Struthio camelus: one gene and its partner. The protein of the gene in region 2 interacts with the protein of the main gene of each other region in a biochemical or structural test. Links are inferred from orthologs where the notes say so. Each region holds a gene or a part of one and is shown on either strand. Other genes may lie near its edges.

Region 1 (7,338 bases), on a different chromosome or scaffold from region 2:
GCCCCGGCGCGGCCGGCCGAGCAGCCCGCCCAGCGCCCGGCGCAGCCTCCCGCGCACCCGGCCGCGTCGCCGCCGCCGCCGCGCCGGGCCGCGCCGAGCCGAGCCGCGCAGCGACAAACGCGGCGCGATCGCCGCTGTGCAGCGGGGAGGCGGATGGGGGAGGGAGAGGCGGAGGCGCTGCCCTGTGACCCGCACTACACGCCTGGCCATTTCTCCTTCCCCACGGTAATCCCTCTTCCCGCCGCAGAGCCCAGAGAACCGCCGGCCTGCTAGGAAATAAGGCAATATTTGCGAGCTCCTGAAGCGCGCAGCCACTGCGGAACGCGCTACAAAGCCCTGTCCTCAGCAGGGGAGCATTGCGCCGGGTCCTGACTTCGCTGCTCTGGCGAATAGGTATCTAAATATTTCCCGGTGGACAGAGATTTACCTTGGGGGCTGCGGCAGGACTGGGGTAAGCTAGTGTCCCGGGGACGCAACGCTATGGATAAAATAAAAAAGGACGATTGTGGAACACAACATTTCTCTCCGCTCTAAATTTAAGTCCCTTTCCCAACTGAAAGCCAAAATAAGCTTTCAAGTGCTTGTCCTTTCAGTGTCAACACTTGAGGATATATTGCTGTGGTACATTTTTTTCCAAAGAGGCAATAAATAATTTTCGATTTCACGGTCATCTTGTGAATATTCCTCTGTACCCGTTTATTCTGTTCAAAACACAGTGGAAGCGTAATTCAAGGATTAGGGGAAGGGGCTAAAAGTCCTGGACTGAACAAACAGACACAACCTAGAGCACCCAACACCACCACTGTGAATCAAAATGCACTCCTCTCCCAACTGATTCTCACCGGGTTATCTTCTATTTCACTGCGTACGGCAAGCAGAAAAAGATAGCCATTTTATTCTACATTTCCCATTATTTTAAGTTGTCTGATTTCAGCGTCTTTGATTTTTCTCCCATTTACAATTCCGGGTGCATTCATGTGCTGTCAACAGCGTTGAGTCAACAAAAGCATCCGTAGGCAACTTCTGTTTATTTACAGTCCTAGGCTGATCTGTTTTCCATTTAATGGAAATTAAATGGCGAGGCACTTTCAGGTTTCATTTCTCCTACAGAATCTTGAATCAATAGCACCAGTGCTATAATTAGGAGGAATTTGGGAGACAGCATTTAAAAGAAAAAGAAGTTTTGTTTACACGCTTCCAGTGGTAGCCGAACTTAAATTAAAATTAAAACAGTCCGTCAAGCGGGATTAAGGGCCCATTTTCAATTGCAAAATAACTTTTACGGAGGGTGGCGAGAAAAAAGGGAGGAAGGCTCGCTTTTACCACGGCAAATCAGAAATAGGAATAATAACAAAAAGCATCGAGAGACAGACAAATGAATGCAAGCGTAAACGCCTAGGGAGCACACGACCACAGGGCCAGGTCGCCATGTGGTGTAAACAGAGGGACGGGGAAGGGAAAGGAGAGGTTTTCCGATCTCTGAAAGGCTTTTCTCCATTTTCCCTGCCGAGATAAACGGGTCTGGGGTTGTGGGGGGGGGGGGTGCGCTCTTCCCCCGGTGCGTGCAGAGGGATACGAACAATTGCAGAGGCGCTGCCTGCTCCGCAGAGCCCCGCTCGCAATCGCACCGCCGGGCTCAGCTCTGCGGCGGGGGGAGCCGCGCCCGAGCGGCGCAAATCCCGCGAAACCAAAACCAAACCGGAGCCGCGCCGGCCGCCGGCTCCTGGGGGAGCAGGACGCGACCCCCGGGGAGAGGGAAGGGAGGGCCGGGCTCTGCCCCGCCGGGGGGGACCCGCTTGCCCCGAGCCACACAGCCGTACACAACCACACAGACACGCCGAGGTGCCCGCGGCCGCGGGGTGCGTCCAGCCCTGCCCGCGCCCCGGCCGCCCGTGGGGACCCGAGCAGGGCTCGGGCCGCGCCGCGAAACTTTGTCCCGCGCCCGCCCCTGCCGCATCGCTGCGCTGCCGCGGAGAGCTGCGCCCTGCCGGGGGCACCGGCTGCCCTTGGCGGCGGCCAGGAAGAGGAGGAAGAGGAGGAGGAAGAGGGCAGGCGAACGCGCTCTGCCGGCTCGGCGGCCGCACCGCCGGTCCCCGCCGCTCCCGCTGCCCCAGCGGGGCCCCGCAGCCCCCACTGACCTGTTTTTAGCCGCCGCTGCTCTGTCTCTCTGCCTTCGGTTTTTGAACCAGTTGCCTACTTGCGTGGGGGTGAGCCCCGTGGCCTGAGCCAGTTCCCTTTTCTTGCTGGGGTTGGGGTAAGGGTCCTGCAGGTACCACTCCCTCAGGAGGCTGCGAGTCCTCTCCTTGAAGCAGTGCGTCTTCTGCTCTCCATCCCAAATGGTCCTGGGCAGCGGAAACTTCTTCCTCACCCTGTATTTATCAACCGGCCCCAGCGGGCGACCCCTTAGCTTCTCGGCCTCCTGGTAGTGCGCTTCGAGCCACATGGCCTGCAACTTGCCGTGGGACTCCTTGGTGAATTTGTGGTTCTCCAGGATGTGGTAGAGGTCTCGGAAGTTGCCCGTGTGGAAGGCGACCACGGCCCGGGCCCGCAGGATGGATTCGTGCTTGTTGATGGCCTCGCATGCCCCCGGTGCCACCGGCAGCGACCAGAGGAACCTCCCCAGCCTCTCTATGTCTCCGGTCTCCTCCAGCGTCTCGCAGACGCTGGCCACTTGCTCCGGGGAGAAGTTGAGTGTGGGCAGCTGAAACATTGACAACTCTTCGTGGGGTGCCCGGGAGCTGCCGCCTCCGCCGCCGCCGGCCCCGGGGCTGCAGCCCGAGCCGCTGCCGCTGCCGCCGCCGCCGCCGCCGCTGGCGAGAAGGAGGGAGCGGTGGTGCGGGTCGGCGGCGAAGTTTGGCAGGAAGAAATGGGTGGGATAAAGCTCTAGCGGGGACCTGAACACCATGGGATGACCGGGGAGAGGGGGAGATGAATCAAGGAGAAAAGAAAGAAAGGGAGGAAGAAGGGAGGAAAGGGCACACGCACCGCGCACGCATCCACACCCGCACAAGCACACACAGCCACATAGAGGCACGGGAGCACACACACATGCACACACACGCACACACGCTTACACGCACACACACACACACACGCACACACACGCACGCACACGCACACACACACTCACACACACCCGGCCCCGCGCCGCCGCCGAGTCAGGATTCAGTGATTCAACAGCAATCGCCCTAATGACAACAGCCTCATAATATCTCCCCTAAATCCACAGTGAGTGCAGCACTGAAACATTTTGTTTCGCTTTTCTATTGGTCTTCTGAGTGTCGTTGTGGCGTTGCCATGGCACCCCCTGCCAATCACTGTCAGCCCTGCCAATCATTACTGAGTACGTAAGAAAGGTTTTTACCACTTCGCCCAAATGCACGGGGGGGAGGGAAGCAGGGTGGTTGGTGGAAAAGCGTGGTTTTTTTTTTTTTTTAATCTTTGCAACTCCTAATCTCAGCACTTCCCCTTCTCCCTGTCTCTCCCCCCTCCCTCTCCACACCCCTCCTAAATAAGGGATCAAATAATGCGAAAAGCAGTGTGCACATATTTGTTGAATGGGATGAGCAATTAGAGGGTGGAATATTATTGTGATCTTAACGAGCCTCGTTAAAGCTAAAGGAGATATGGGGGGAAAGTAAATGGGCCAGGCTGGGATACACGTTCGGATAAAGGGCTCCTAACTGAGACAATTTACACATGATTTGCACGTAGTTTCACTTCATTCTGCCTATCTGAGCACTAATAGTGCCGGGGAAGAAAAGAAAGATGAGATCATTAGACCCATCCTCATGCCGGTGACCCTCCCAGAAGCGAGCACATACAGTGCAGCCCGGGTTTAGCCCTGGCTCCCTGTGCCCTCCGCCGAAGGAGGTACCTGCCGGACGAGGAGCTGCGCGGGGCTGCGCGGGGCGCCGCGCAGGGCGGCCGGGCGGGCGCGGCGGGGCTGCCAAGCCCCGGCCGCTCCCGCTCCCGCCGCCGCCCCGGCCCCGCGCCGCTTCCGCTTCCCTCTCCCTGCTCTTTCGCCTTTCCACTGCGCTTCTCTCTCCCGCTGCCTTCCCTCCTCCCCCTCGCCTCACCTCCTGTCGCCCCTTTCTTTCCTCCGAGGCAGGTCTCACCCCGGCCCGGCCGCGGCTGTACCCTGGCCCGCGCCGTCCCCGGCCGCTGCGGCCCCCCACCTCCCTCGCCGGCCGACGGGCAAAGGGGGGGGGGGCGAGCGAAAGCGGGTCTAAACCCACGCCTATTTTCCTCGTAGTTATTATTATTTTTTAATTGGGAGCAAAGAAAATCTGTGTGGTGTTTGGGGTCCATCCCTCAGTAAGAGCTAGCGAGGTCGCCAGACCTCGCTACCACGCCACTATATTTATTATTAGGTATGTTGCTTTTAAGAAGATTTAATCAGCATCTTGAGCTGGTAACTCTTTTGTTTAGTTTCTGTAGCTATGGAAGTGTGATTTACAGAGATTTGTACGGGTCATGGACATCTTTCCAGACTTACTGTGTATATTTAGACAGGACTTTGCTTGGTGTTAAAAAGTGTATATTTTGAATAGGTTCACACACAGTAGCAAACAATACCGACATTGTAAAGGCATGTACAACGAGTATTGAAACGCAGCATCCAGACTTCAACTAATCTGCCCTCAATAAAGCTGAAATAATTATCCTAAGCCGCCTTTCTAGAAGAAAAATCATTGAGGAATTCAAAACTTTTTTAAAGATCTTTTCTGCATTCCGATGGAGATCGAGGGGTGAGGCTTGGAGCCCAAACTACTTTCAGACATCAATGGAGGGAAGGAGGAGGGGAGGAAGAGAGATATTACAATTAAAATGTGAAAACATAGCGTGACTTGCCCTATCCGAAGGATAATAATAATACTGCTATGGGTGGTAGAAGTTCTTTAGCTGGGCTCCAAACTGGTTGTGATCCTTTCACAGCGCACTCCTCGTGAAATAATTCCAAGTGGCAGATGAATAGGTCCAGTTGGAAGAGCTGCTGGACTGGAAGAAGCTCGCTGTATTACACATTCATCTGATTTCCACTAAACTGTCATCGGTGTACTACATTGGTTCATATTCGTAATGGAAATAACTCGCCCTCTTAATTTTTAGTGATCTGCCGAAACACTTCTGTTAACAGACTTGGGGTAAACTTTTTTTTTCCTCCCTCCCTCCGTGGCTCATATTTCCTGTTGCACAGCTAAGGAGGAAAAGAGGCTGCTCAGCCCCAATACAAATCGACTTGGAGGTATTAATTGGACAACAATATGTTTAGCCCAAGATTTTAATACACACACACACAAAATCTTTTTCTTTGTAATCCTTTCCTTTTATGTAAAGGATTACAGAGGGGAGGGTGGAGGAATTCCTGCGGGAGTTTCTTAATATTTGATTCCATTTTTCGTCAAGCTGCAAATTAAACTCCCCTAATGTATATTTCTAGAATCAAATCCATATGGGCTTTTTTTTTTAATCTCCCAGACAATCATACTCTGTTCATTTGCTTATAGGTTGCTTCCCTCTGTTAGAATTCCTGATGAAGTTTATAAAGCTTCAAAATATGTACAGAGCAGATTCTTTCTTTCTTTCTCTCTCTCTTTCTTTTTTCTTTCTTTCTCTCTTTCTATTTCCTTCCTTCCTTTTTTCTTTCTTTCCTTCTATCCCAGAAACGTACAAGCCGCGTATCTGCGGAAAATGTTTCTTTCAAAACGCGTGTTCTGGAGGGAATTTCAGTGCACGAGTACCCTGCGTGCGTGTGTATGCATGCGTGTGCGTGTGCCTGTGTGTTTAAAGCCAAACAAACCCACGACCCCGATGTGCCTATCAGCTAGTATCAGGGTCTTAATAAAGCTCTGCTCTTCTCTCTCTGCACATGGACCTCCAGCCCCAGAGCGACGGCTGCCGCCAGCTCTTGCAGGGGCGAAGCCAAGAGCCTAAAAGGCTTGAGCTCGCCCAGGCGGCGGGTGGGCGCGGGTCCCCGCGGCACGGCGGCGGCGGCAGCCGCTCCGGCAGCGGCTCCTGCCTCTGCCGGCCCGCCGGTGCCTCGGCGCTGCCCTCCGCCCGCCAGCGAGGGACGCGCTCCCCGTGTCCCGAAATGTACAAGCAGATAATTGCCGGCGCTCCAGCTTTGTGTGAGGAGGCCAGGGTGTAAATGGCTTTTAATGACTGCAGCTGCTGGCTGCAAACTGTCAATGGGATCGGCTAATGCCGAGCCCGGACCCGGCGGGCGCCGCGCCGCAGCCGGGCGGGCGCAGGCGGCAGCCCCCGGCGCGCAGGGCAGCGCGGAGCCGGGCGCGGAGCCGGGCGCGGGCGGCGGCAGCGGGAGCACGCCGGCGGAGGCGGCGGGGAGACACTGCCCTCTCGGCTGGGGAAATCCTTTCCGGATCCTGTAAGTTTCTTCTCGGCACGCTCAGGTCCCGCGGGGAGGCTCCCGGGGCCGCGCAGCTCTGCGCCCCCCGCCCCGGCCCTCTCCCACCGTCGTGCGTGGGGCTTGGGGGGTCCGAGGTGATGACAAGCGGCATCCTCCTCGCTGCTGATAGCCTTCTTCTCCGGGCTGGGGAAATCTGCGGTCCATTTCCAGTCACTCTTACTTGATCCCACATGATTCATTGTTTTAGCTGCTAGAATGACATGTGGCTCTGCAGGGCAGGGGAGCAAAAGAAAAAAAAAAATCCGGCAACCTCATACCAAAAAAAAACCTCCCCCTAAATAAACCGGGACAACCCTATGTTCTTTTCTGAACGGAGCCCTGCAAAGTTGCACCTGTCTCTGTGTGTGTGTGCGTGTGTGTGTATCTGGCTGCCAACCTGGAGGACTTTTCCTGGGAGAGGAAAGGAAGCAGAGAGGGAAGCTCTTTTATTTCACTGCTTGTTTTGATGGTAGCTCCCAGGAGGCTGCGATTTTCTGCTGCCTAGTTAGTGCCCCTTAATCCTGACTCGGGAGTGACTCAGGCGACGCTTGCGAGAGCTGATTATTTTTTATCGGGGGAGGCCGGGGCGCAGACGGGGCTGGGGCGTAGCGGTGCGCCCGCCGCGGTACTGGCGAGCGGGAAACGCGGCGCGGCGGCGGCGGCGGCAGCGTGGGCAACGGCGAGGGGGGAGACAGGGAGAGATGAGGGCAGGTGAAGGAGAACCCGTCGCGTTCGTCTCTCTCTCTCTCTCTCTCTCTTTTTTTTTTATTATGATATAATTGAATTTTTGTCATTCTTCATTGGCAAGCGCTGACAATTTTGTACAGCTGCCGTCTTTAAAAACACATCTATCCAGCTCCTTCCTTCTCTTTCTTTCTCTCCTCTTTTTTCTGTCACTGTTTCTCAGGATAAATGAATATGCTTTTGAT
Region 2 (7,344 bases):
AACACAGGTTTTATGTGACAAAATTATAAACTACAGTGCTTTCATTAATGCCCCGTCTCCAGGAAGGAATCCAGAAACCCAAATTCGTCGTTTCACTCTTTGCCTACTTTCAGGGAGAGAAAAGGGAAAGAACACTCTACCTTCAACACGTTCACAGGGCCGCACGTAAAATCTCACCCCTCTCGAGAAAAGGATGCATAGCTTGGGACTGCAGGGCATCGCTTCTGGCCAGTGCGGGGTGAGGGTATTAAAACATTTTCTTGAGGATGGTCGTCTACCAGCTTTCTTAAAGACACAGCCAGAAGAAGATGGGTGCTACCTTCCGGCAATACAATCGTTGGCCAGTTACAACGCTCCGTACAAACCAGAAGATGTGACATTCCCTTCGGAGTCCACATCGACCATTGTCCAAGGGAATGGCCTAAGCATCAGGCTACTGACCGTTTGGGAGGGTATGGAGGGGAAAGGAAACCTTTCCCTTGCTTGGTAGAAGGGATTAATTGGGCAAGAAATTAAGTTCACTTAAGCCCATGACAGTATTTTATACTGTGAGAGTTTAGTAGGAAATACGGACGCCATCCTTGGAGCAGGAACGGCTGCGCAGAGCCCCTCCGCTCCAGCAGATGGCCTGAAGCATTAGACCGCAGTGCTGGCATACAAGCCTGAAAGCGGTTACACCACTTCAAAATGATGAGCGAGGTGCCACCCCGGATGATCCAGGGATTACAGCAGTCTCCTGGGAGGTGGAGAATGTGGGTTGACTCTCCTCTTCTCCACTCTTATCCCCCTACCCCAGACCGCGAAAATTTGAATCTGGACGTCCTGTTTTCTGTGCAAGTGCTGAAATGACCAAGCTATGGTGTATTTAGGGTGCACCAACGGACTTCTCTTTTGGGGTATTCCTAGAAGAGAGCGTTTAGGCAGAGGAACAGCTGGTTTCTACATCCTCGAGAAAGACAGGGAAATTGGTAGGTAATACAGGAGGATACGCTTTGAGCAGGAGGTTAGACTAGATGATCTTCCACACAGCATCTCTATGGCAGTATTGAATTTTAGTGTCTCCAGAGAGACGGCAGCTGGACACGATTTCTGGACTGCAGGTTTTGACTTGGGTATTTAAGTTCTGCAGTAAGTACCTAAAAGCAATGACTTTTTATTATCTTGATTCCAGAAAGTTGTGGCCTGAGGACTGGCCTGGACTTCACAAGCTCTGGTCTTGAAGAAGGCAACTGTAAATTCTGATAAGGAGTTCAGCATTTAGTTATTTGACCATTAACACAAACGCCATGCATGGGAACTGGAAATGAACCCCTCAGCCTCTCCATATTGTTTACTCCCTGTGCGAGTCTGAGCCACCTGCACTTCCCCTACCTTTGGCCTCACACAGAAAACGTCACTTGACAACCTTCCCGCCTCTTTGAGCTTTACTTCTCCCAAAGCTTCCCCCAGATTTTCACAGGCTTCACCTCCTCATTCTCATACACAGCCTCCAGCTCCTAGTTTTTGTCCCGAGTTATCCACAAGGCTTCAGCCACAACATCCTTACGGCGCTCATTTCTGCACTGCTGCTCATGGTCACTCCAGCTGACGGGTACACACACGTAGTAGAAGTTGCCCAGTGTTGATCCTGTGCCCTTACAGCTCCCGGCTCGGTGTTTATCCTTAGCTTGGGAGCTCCTTACCCGAAGGACTTCCTTTTTGCAGGCTCAGAAGCATGCAGCACATAGCGATCTCTCATTTAACACCTCGCTGCGAAATGATCAACAGCGCTCACCCAGGGGGAGAGGGCTGCCTTCGGGAGCCCCCGCGCACTGCGCGGCTCCCCAGGGGCAGACCCAACACCCTGAAGGGCTTAGCGCTCTCAGCGACACTTTCTAACCCTTTTCTCCAAGTATTCCCACATAACGCTGCTTTAAATGCCGCCTCAAGGACTCGTTGAAAGACTTTTAAAACAGTCTTGCTTCTGGTTTGCGATTTGGGGTTCCCCCCGCCCCCTTTAGCCGTCTGGCATAACGACATGTGCAGGCTGTGGGAGACGGGGCAGCTCGAGGGAGCGACGAAGTTGCACCGCGCCGTGGAAGAGTCACGGGATTGGGGGGGGGGGGGCGGACACAGCGGGGCCGATTCTGCCGCCCTCCTCCTGCTACCGTCATTTTGGAGGCTGGTGGCCCATACAGCCCGTGCAGGCGTGCGAGCCGGCCTGACGGGGTTGCTTCACGGCCCGCGGCGGCTCCCCGAGGGGGCGAGCGGCGCTCCGCAGCCCCTTTCCCAGCAGGCAGGCAGAGACGAGAAGAAATGACAGCATGGAAAGCGGAGTGATTTTATCAGGGCCGGTGCTCGGGGTGAGCGGCGGGCGGAAAGTGTCGCCCTGCGCCTTCGCCCTCCGCCGCCCACGGCGGGGGCGGCTTCAAAGGGGATCTCCCCGCGCGCGGCGTGGCCGCGCCGGGCCAGCGCACCGGCCCCTCGCGGCGTTTGCGCCTCTGCCGGCGCTTGCTCAGCAGCCGGGGACTCCCCGCCGGCCGCCGCCGCTGCCATGAGGTCACCGCCGCGCTATGCGCGCCCGCCGCCGCCCCTGCGCCGCTCCGTGACGTCAGGCGGGGGTATCCCCGCCGCCGCCGAGCGGGGCATCCCCGCCGCGGAAACACCGCGCGCGCCCCCACGCGCGGCCCTGCCCGGGGGGGAGGGGGGCGGCCCCCCCCGCGCGAGCGGGGCGCTCGGCCGCCGCTCAGGAGTGCCCGGGGGTGGTGGTGGTGGAGGGGGGGGTTGCAAGGCAAAGGCAAAAAAGGCAGCGCGCTGCCGAGCGGGGGAAGCACCCCGCGGGGGGGTCTGGGGGGACGGGGGCACGGCCGGGCGCACACGGCTGCAGCCGGCGAGCGGGCGGCGCTGCGGGTCGGCTCGGGCCCGGCCCGGCCGGGTGTGCGCGGCGCTGCGCCCCCCGCGCAGAGGGAGCCGCGCGCGCGTGGCCGGGGGGGAGGGGGAGGGGCGCGGCCCCGTGACAATGGGACTCGCTGGCGCTATAAATACCCGCCCGCGTCTATATTTGGCTTGGCCGGATCACAAGCAGGGGGCCCAAAAATAGCCCCGCGCGCCCGCCCCGCCCCGCCCCGCGCCGCCGCCGCCGCCGCCGCCGCTCAATGGGCCGCGGCCGCGGCGGGGCCCCGCCCCCTCCCCCGCGCCGGCCCCGCCGCCCCGCGCAGGGCCAGCGGCTAAATTTAGCAGCGCCGCTTGCGTCAATTACGCGCCTGTCGTGCGTCAGCGCGCTGGGGCCGCCCCCCGGCGCGGGGCCCCGCGCGTCCTGTGCGTGGATTGGCCGCGGCGGCGCGAGGCCGGCGTTCCGCCGTGACGCGGCGCGGCCGGGCCCGGGCGGCGGCGGCGGCGGAGGCGGCGGGTCCGGGTGCCCCGCCGGCCGGGCAGCGGCGGCGGCGGCGGCGGGGGCCCCCGCGTGGCGCCCGCCGGGCCGCGCCGTCGGCGGCCGCCGCCGGGAGTGGAAACGCTGCTCGCAGCTGCGGGAGGCTGGCAGCGCCGGCGTGGTGCCCTCGCGTGCACCTCCACCTCCACTCACGCGTGTGCGTCCACGCGGCTCGAGCGCGAGCAGCAGCGTGGCAGCGGTGCTAACAGTCGCGGCAGCCAGCGGCCCTACTGCAAGCGCCAACAAAGCGAGGGTCGTTCGTTAGAGGCTGCGGCCGCCGGGGGCTCCAGCGCCGCAGGCTCGGGAGCCCCCGACGGAGCCCCAGCGCCGGGAGCCGCGCGGAGCAGCCCCCGCCCCCCCCCCCCCAGCACGGCGCCCGCCACCTGCTCTTTGCTCCTGCGCGCCGCAAAGTCGAAAATAAAAAAAAGTCCCGCTGAAAAAGCCGCTGCTGAGCCAGGCAACGCTCTTTTCCCCCCGTGAGCCGGGCCAGTAAAGAGTTGGCAAGCCCACATCACCGCGCGATCCCTCTTATTGTCATCACTAGTTTTGCAGTTGGGAGCAGCTCGCCCCGCTCCCGCGGCAGCCGGCCCGCTCGCCCCGCTCCCGGCGGCGCGGTGCAGCGCGGCGCAGCGCGGCGGCGGCGGCGGCGGCGGCGGCGCACACACTGGGGCGGGCGGCGGGGCGGGCGGGGGGGGGTCAGTAGCGTCAGGCTCCCATGGCGTCACTATTGACGTTTCGCATTCCAGCCGCTCTATGGAGAGGCCGCTAGGGCTCCTCTCGCATAAATGACGTTCAGAGAGAGGGAGAGGGAGAGCAGCGCGGAGAGGAGGCTCCTTCCTCTCTGGCGGCGCCGCGGAGCACACGCGCTCGCACGGGCACCGGGCACCGGGCTCTCGCCGCGGCCGCGCACACACACACGCACACGCACACACACACACGCACACACACGCACACACACACACGCACACACACGCACACACACGCACACACAAAGGCACGTTGCGGCGGCTCGTCACTGCCTCGCTCGCGCTACTCAGGAGCAGCAGCGGGAACGGGCTCCCGCTTTCTCCAGCTTTTGCCATCCTTTCCCATGACTCGGGATAACGCGTCCTCCAGATCTGCAGCCGCCGAGAACCTCTGGGGTTTCCTTTTTACAATTTTGCCGCTGGACAGCGCCTACATGCACATTTAAGGAAACAAGGCATTTACAAACTAGATGTAAAGACGGAACCTCCACAGCAATCAAGTATGTATATGAACGCGAGAGAGAGAGAGAGAGAGAGGGAAAGAGAGAATGTGATGTGTTTGGACTTGGCAAAAGTTGTGCCGCTGGGGTAGATGCTCGCGACATGACAGCTGTGTGCGAAGAAGCTCGGGGCGGCTCATCCGAGGTGCCGCGGCTCTAGCCGAAACTTTGCCTCCCTTTCTCTCCCGTGTGGATGGTCATTTGCTACTCGGTATCGGAGCCTCCCTCCCAGCGCTGCCCCCTCCCATGCCCATAGCGCGACCGCCGCCGCCGCCGCTCCTCGCCGCCAGCGGAGCTGGGTTTGTGGAATAAAGCCCCGGCCGGTACTAAGGTATTTCTGCTAGTTGTTGTCATGGAAATGATGCTGCCGGCGGCGGCGGGGAGTTTACAGCGCTTGTGATGAATGGCAGTAATTTGTCTTCTTCCTTTAACTGTGCTTGGAAAATAGGTGGTTTTGTTTGCACAAGTTAGAGCTGTCTAATAGGGACGGCGGGGCAGGTTGATCTAATCTCTCTTCAGGAGAGAGCAGACCGTAGGCAGCCTGGAGAGCTTGCTGAAGAGGTAATTGTTGGAATGTGGCATATTGTATTGAAATGAGTCGGGATCTTTGCTAGGCACGTCTGCCCGGCATCTGTTCCTCAGAAATTTGCTCTTTTCCCTTTGGAGGTCAGAAATTGTAATCATAGGCTGTAGTGACCCAGCACGTGTGTTACAGTACAGAGAGGCTTAACTGCACTGTCTGCCCGACTCGCTGTATAAACGTCTCACTTACATTATTGTCTTAATGGCTGGGAAAGAAGTTTCGGTCCTGGAAAGAATCGATAAGGCACTGGCACTCGACTGCGTTATAGTGGGGGCGGTTGTCGCGACTGCGTTATCGCGATAGGTCTTAGGCAGAGGTCTAAGGCGGAGGTGTGGATCGCCTTCCTGACACTAGCTAATAACGCTATTTTTTAACTTGCATTTTTGAAACGATGGATTTCACGCGAGAAAATTTCCCAAAGAAAAGGCTGAAAACGCTGTTTTCTGTCGGGGATTTGTTGCGTTGGGATTCGATGGTTTTTTCCAGGGGAAAAAAAAAAGTTTGGGAATGGATCGCTAACTTTTATCCAACCCACTTCACTTGATTACATTCTTCGCCCTATTTTTCTCTCCTCCGTGGAGACTGTTGTATGTTGGAGTCAGGCCCCGCTAAAACAATGGACTGAAGCAGAGCAGACGGCTTCTTCGGAGGTGAAACTCACCCGAGCTCCTGGATATTTGCTGGAGCGATCGCGTGGCTCGGAGCGATCCCCAAAATCGCGAGCTAACCAGCAGTGGAAATATAGCTTGAAACTTTTAATTGAATGGAGCTTCCCCTTTCGCGGTCCCTCCCGGGTAAATGAAGGTTTCGAAACTCAACTGAAGAAGTCACAATCACAATGGAGTATTTCACGGTTTCCTCCTCATATTACAGGGTGGGGAGGGGTGTCACTCGGGGCTGAATGTAAAGTGCACGGAGGAAGAAAAGAGCTTTGACAAGGGTAGTTATTTCCTCCTAATTTACAGCCCTTAAGGCTCTGTGCTCCTGGCTCAGGCGTCTGCAGTCCGGAGGGGTGTTGCGTGTTTAAAAGCGCAGTGAATGTCTCTAGGTAACCGCCGGCTCAGGGGGAGGAGAGGAGCCCTAGGGCGCTCGGAGCGGTGTGAGAAGCAGCCTCGCAGGAGCTTGGCCCCAGAGCAGGGAGGGAACAAAACCAGCGGGAGAGAAGGAGATGAGCTAACAGTCATTTCACATCCCCGAGCCGCGGCGGGATTCAGAGGCAGGGGGCAAGGGGAAGCCGCAGAGCGCGACGGAGCTGTTGGCGCTCCCCGGGAGAGCTCCCGGCGCAGCCCCCGCCGGCCCCGGCATCCCCGGTATCCCCGGGAGCGCGGCGGCCCCGGGGCCGGGACTCACCGCTTCTGCGGCGCGGGCGGCCCGGAGCGCGGCCGCGGCGGGGCTCCGCGACCGGCCCGCGCTCCCTCCCGCCTGGCCTGCGCTGAGGTGCCAAGCGGTGCGGGGGGCACAGCCGCCCCGGGGCCGGGGCCGGGGCCGGGGCCGGGGCGGCGCCGTCGCGGGGGGCAGGGGTGCAAGCCCGGGAGGCTGGCCGCATTGGCAGGAAACCCCTCAAGCCCTGGCCCTCCGGCCGGTCACCACCTTGCTCAAAAACTTCCAGCCTGCTTCTGACGGCTCCCCCCCCCCATCACCCCCCCGCCCCGGCCGAAAAGGAAACTTCCTGCTCCGCGGGCGGCCACGCTGCCAAGGAGCGCGCCGCATCAATGGATGCGCGGGCGACTTGGCGGAGATGCTGCCTCTTTGCTGGAGTCAGCCCTGCCCCGGGGCCGGTTCTCCCCTTGCCTTCCCCCTGCCCCGCGCTCCTCACCAGAAAAACAAGCAAGCAAGCAAGAGCACGGCACCTCCGCTTGCCCTGTCCTTTTTTCCCAGCCCGGTGCCTTCTCCCTTTTGTGCGACGGGGGAGAGAGAGCGCGGGGCTGGCAGAAAAGGCGCTTCCCAACCGGCCCCTCTCTTTTCTCCCTTGGAGCAAGGTGGGGGCTTGCCGAGCCGCGAGGGGGGAAGGAGGCGCGGCCGCCGCTGCCCTGCTGCCCCGGTCCCGCCGCAGCACCCTGCCAGGCGCAGAGGGAAAGGGGGCGCATTTCCCCCCCCCCCCGCCGC

What was found.
Region 1: the proteins of NR4A3 (region 2) and SIX3 form a complex in vitro, tested with the Homo sapiens proteins (3 studies listed by BioGRID). The link is inferred for Struthio camelus from reciprocal best matches to the Homo sapiens genes NR4A3 and SIX3.

The regions. Positions count from the first base shown.
Region 1 is NC_090944.1:109,687,467-109,694,804, forward strand, and holds the start of SIX3 (homeobox protein SIX3), read right to left. Parts: upstream 3,218-7,338; 5' UTR 2,906-3,217; coding exon 2,139-2,905; intron 1-2,138. UniProt on the Homo sapiens protein: Transcriptional regulator which can act as both a transcriptional repressor and activator by binding a ATTA homeodomain core recognition sequence on these target genes.
Region 2 is NC_090943.1:77,431,656-77,438,999, reverse strand, and holds the start of NR4A3 (nuclear receptor subfamily 4 group A member 3), read left to right. Parts: upstream 1-4,204; 5' UTR 4,205-4,655; intron 4,656-7,344. UniProt on the Homo sapiens protein: Transcriptional activator that binds to regulatory elements in promoter regions in a cell- and response element (target)-specific manner.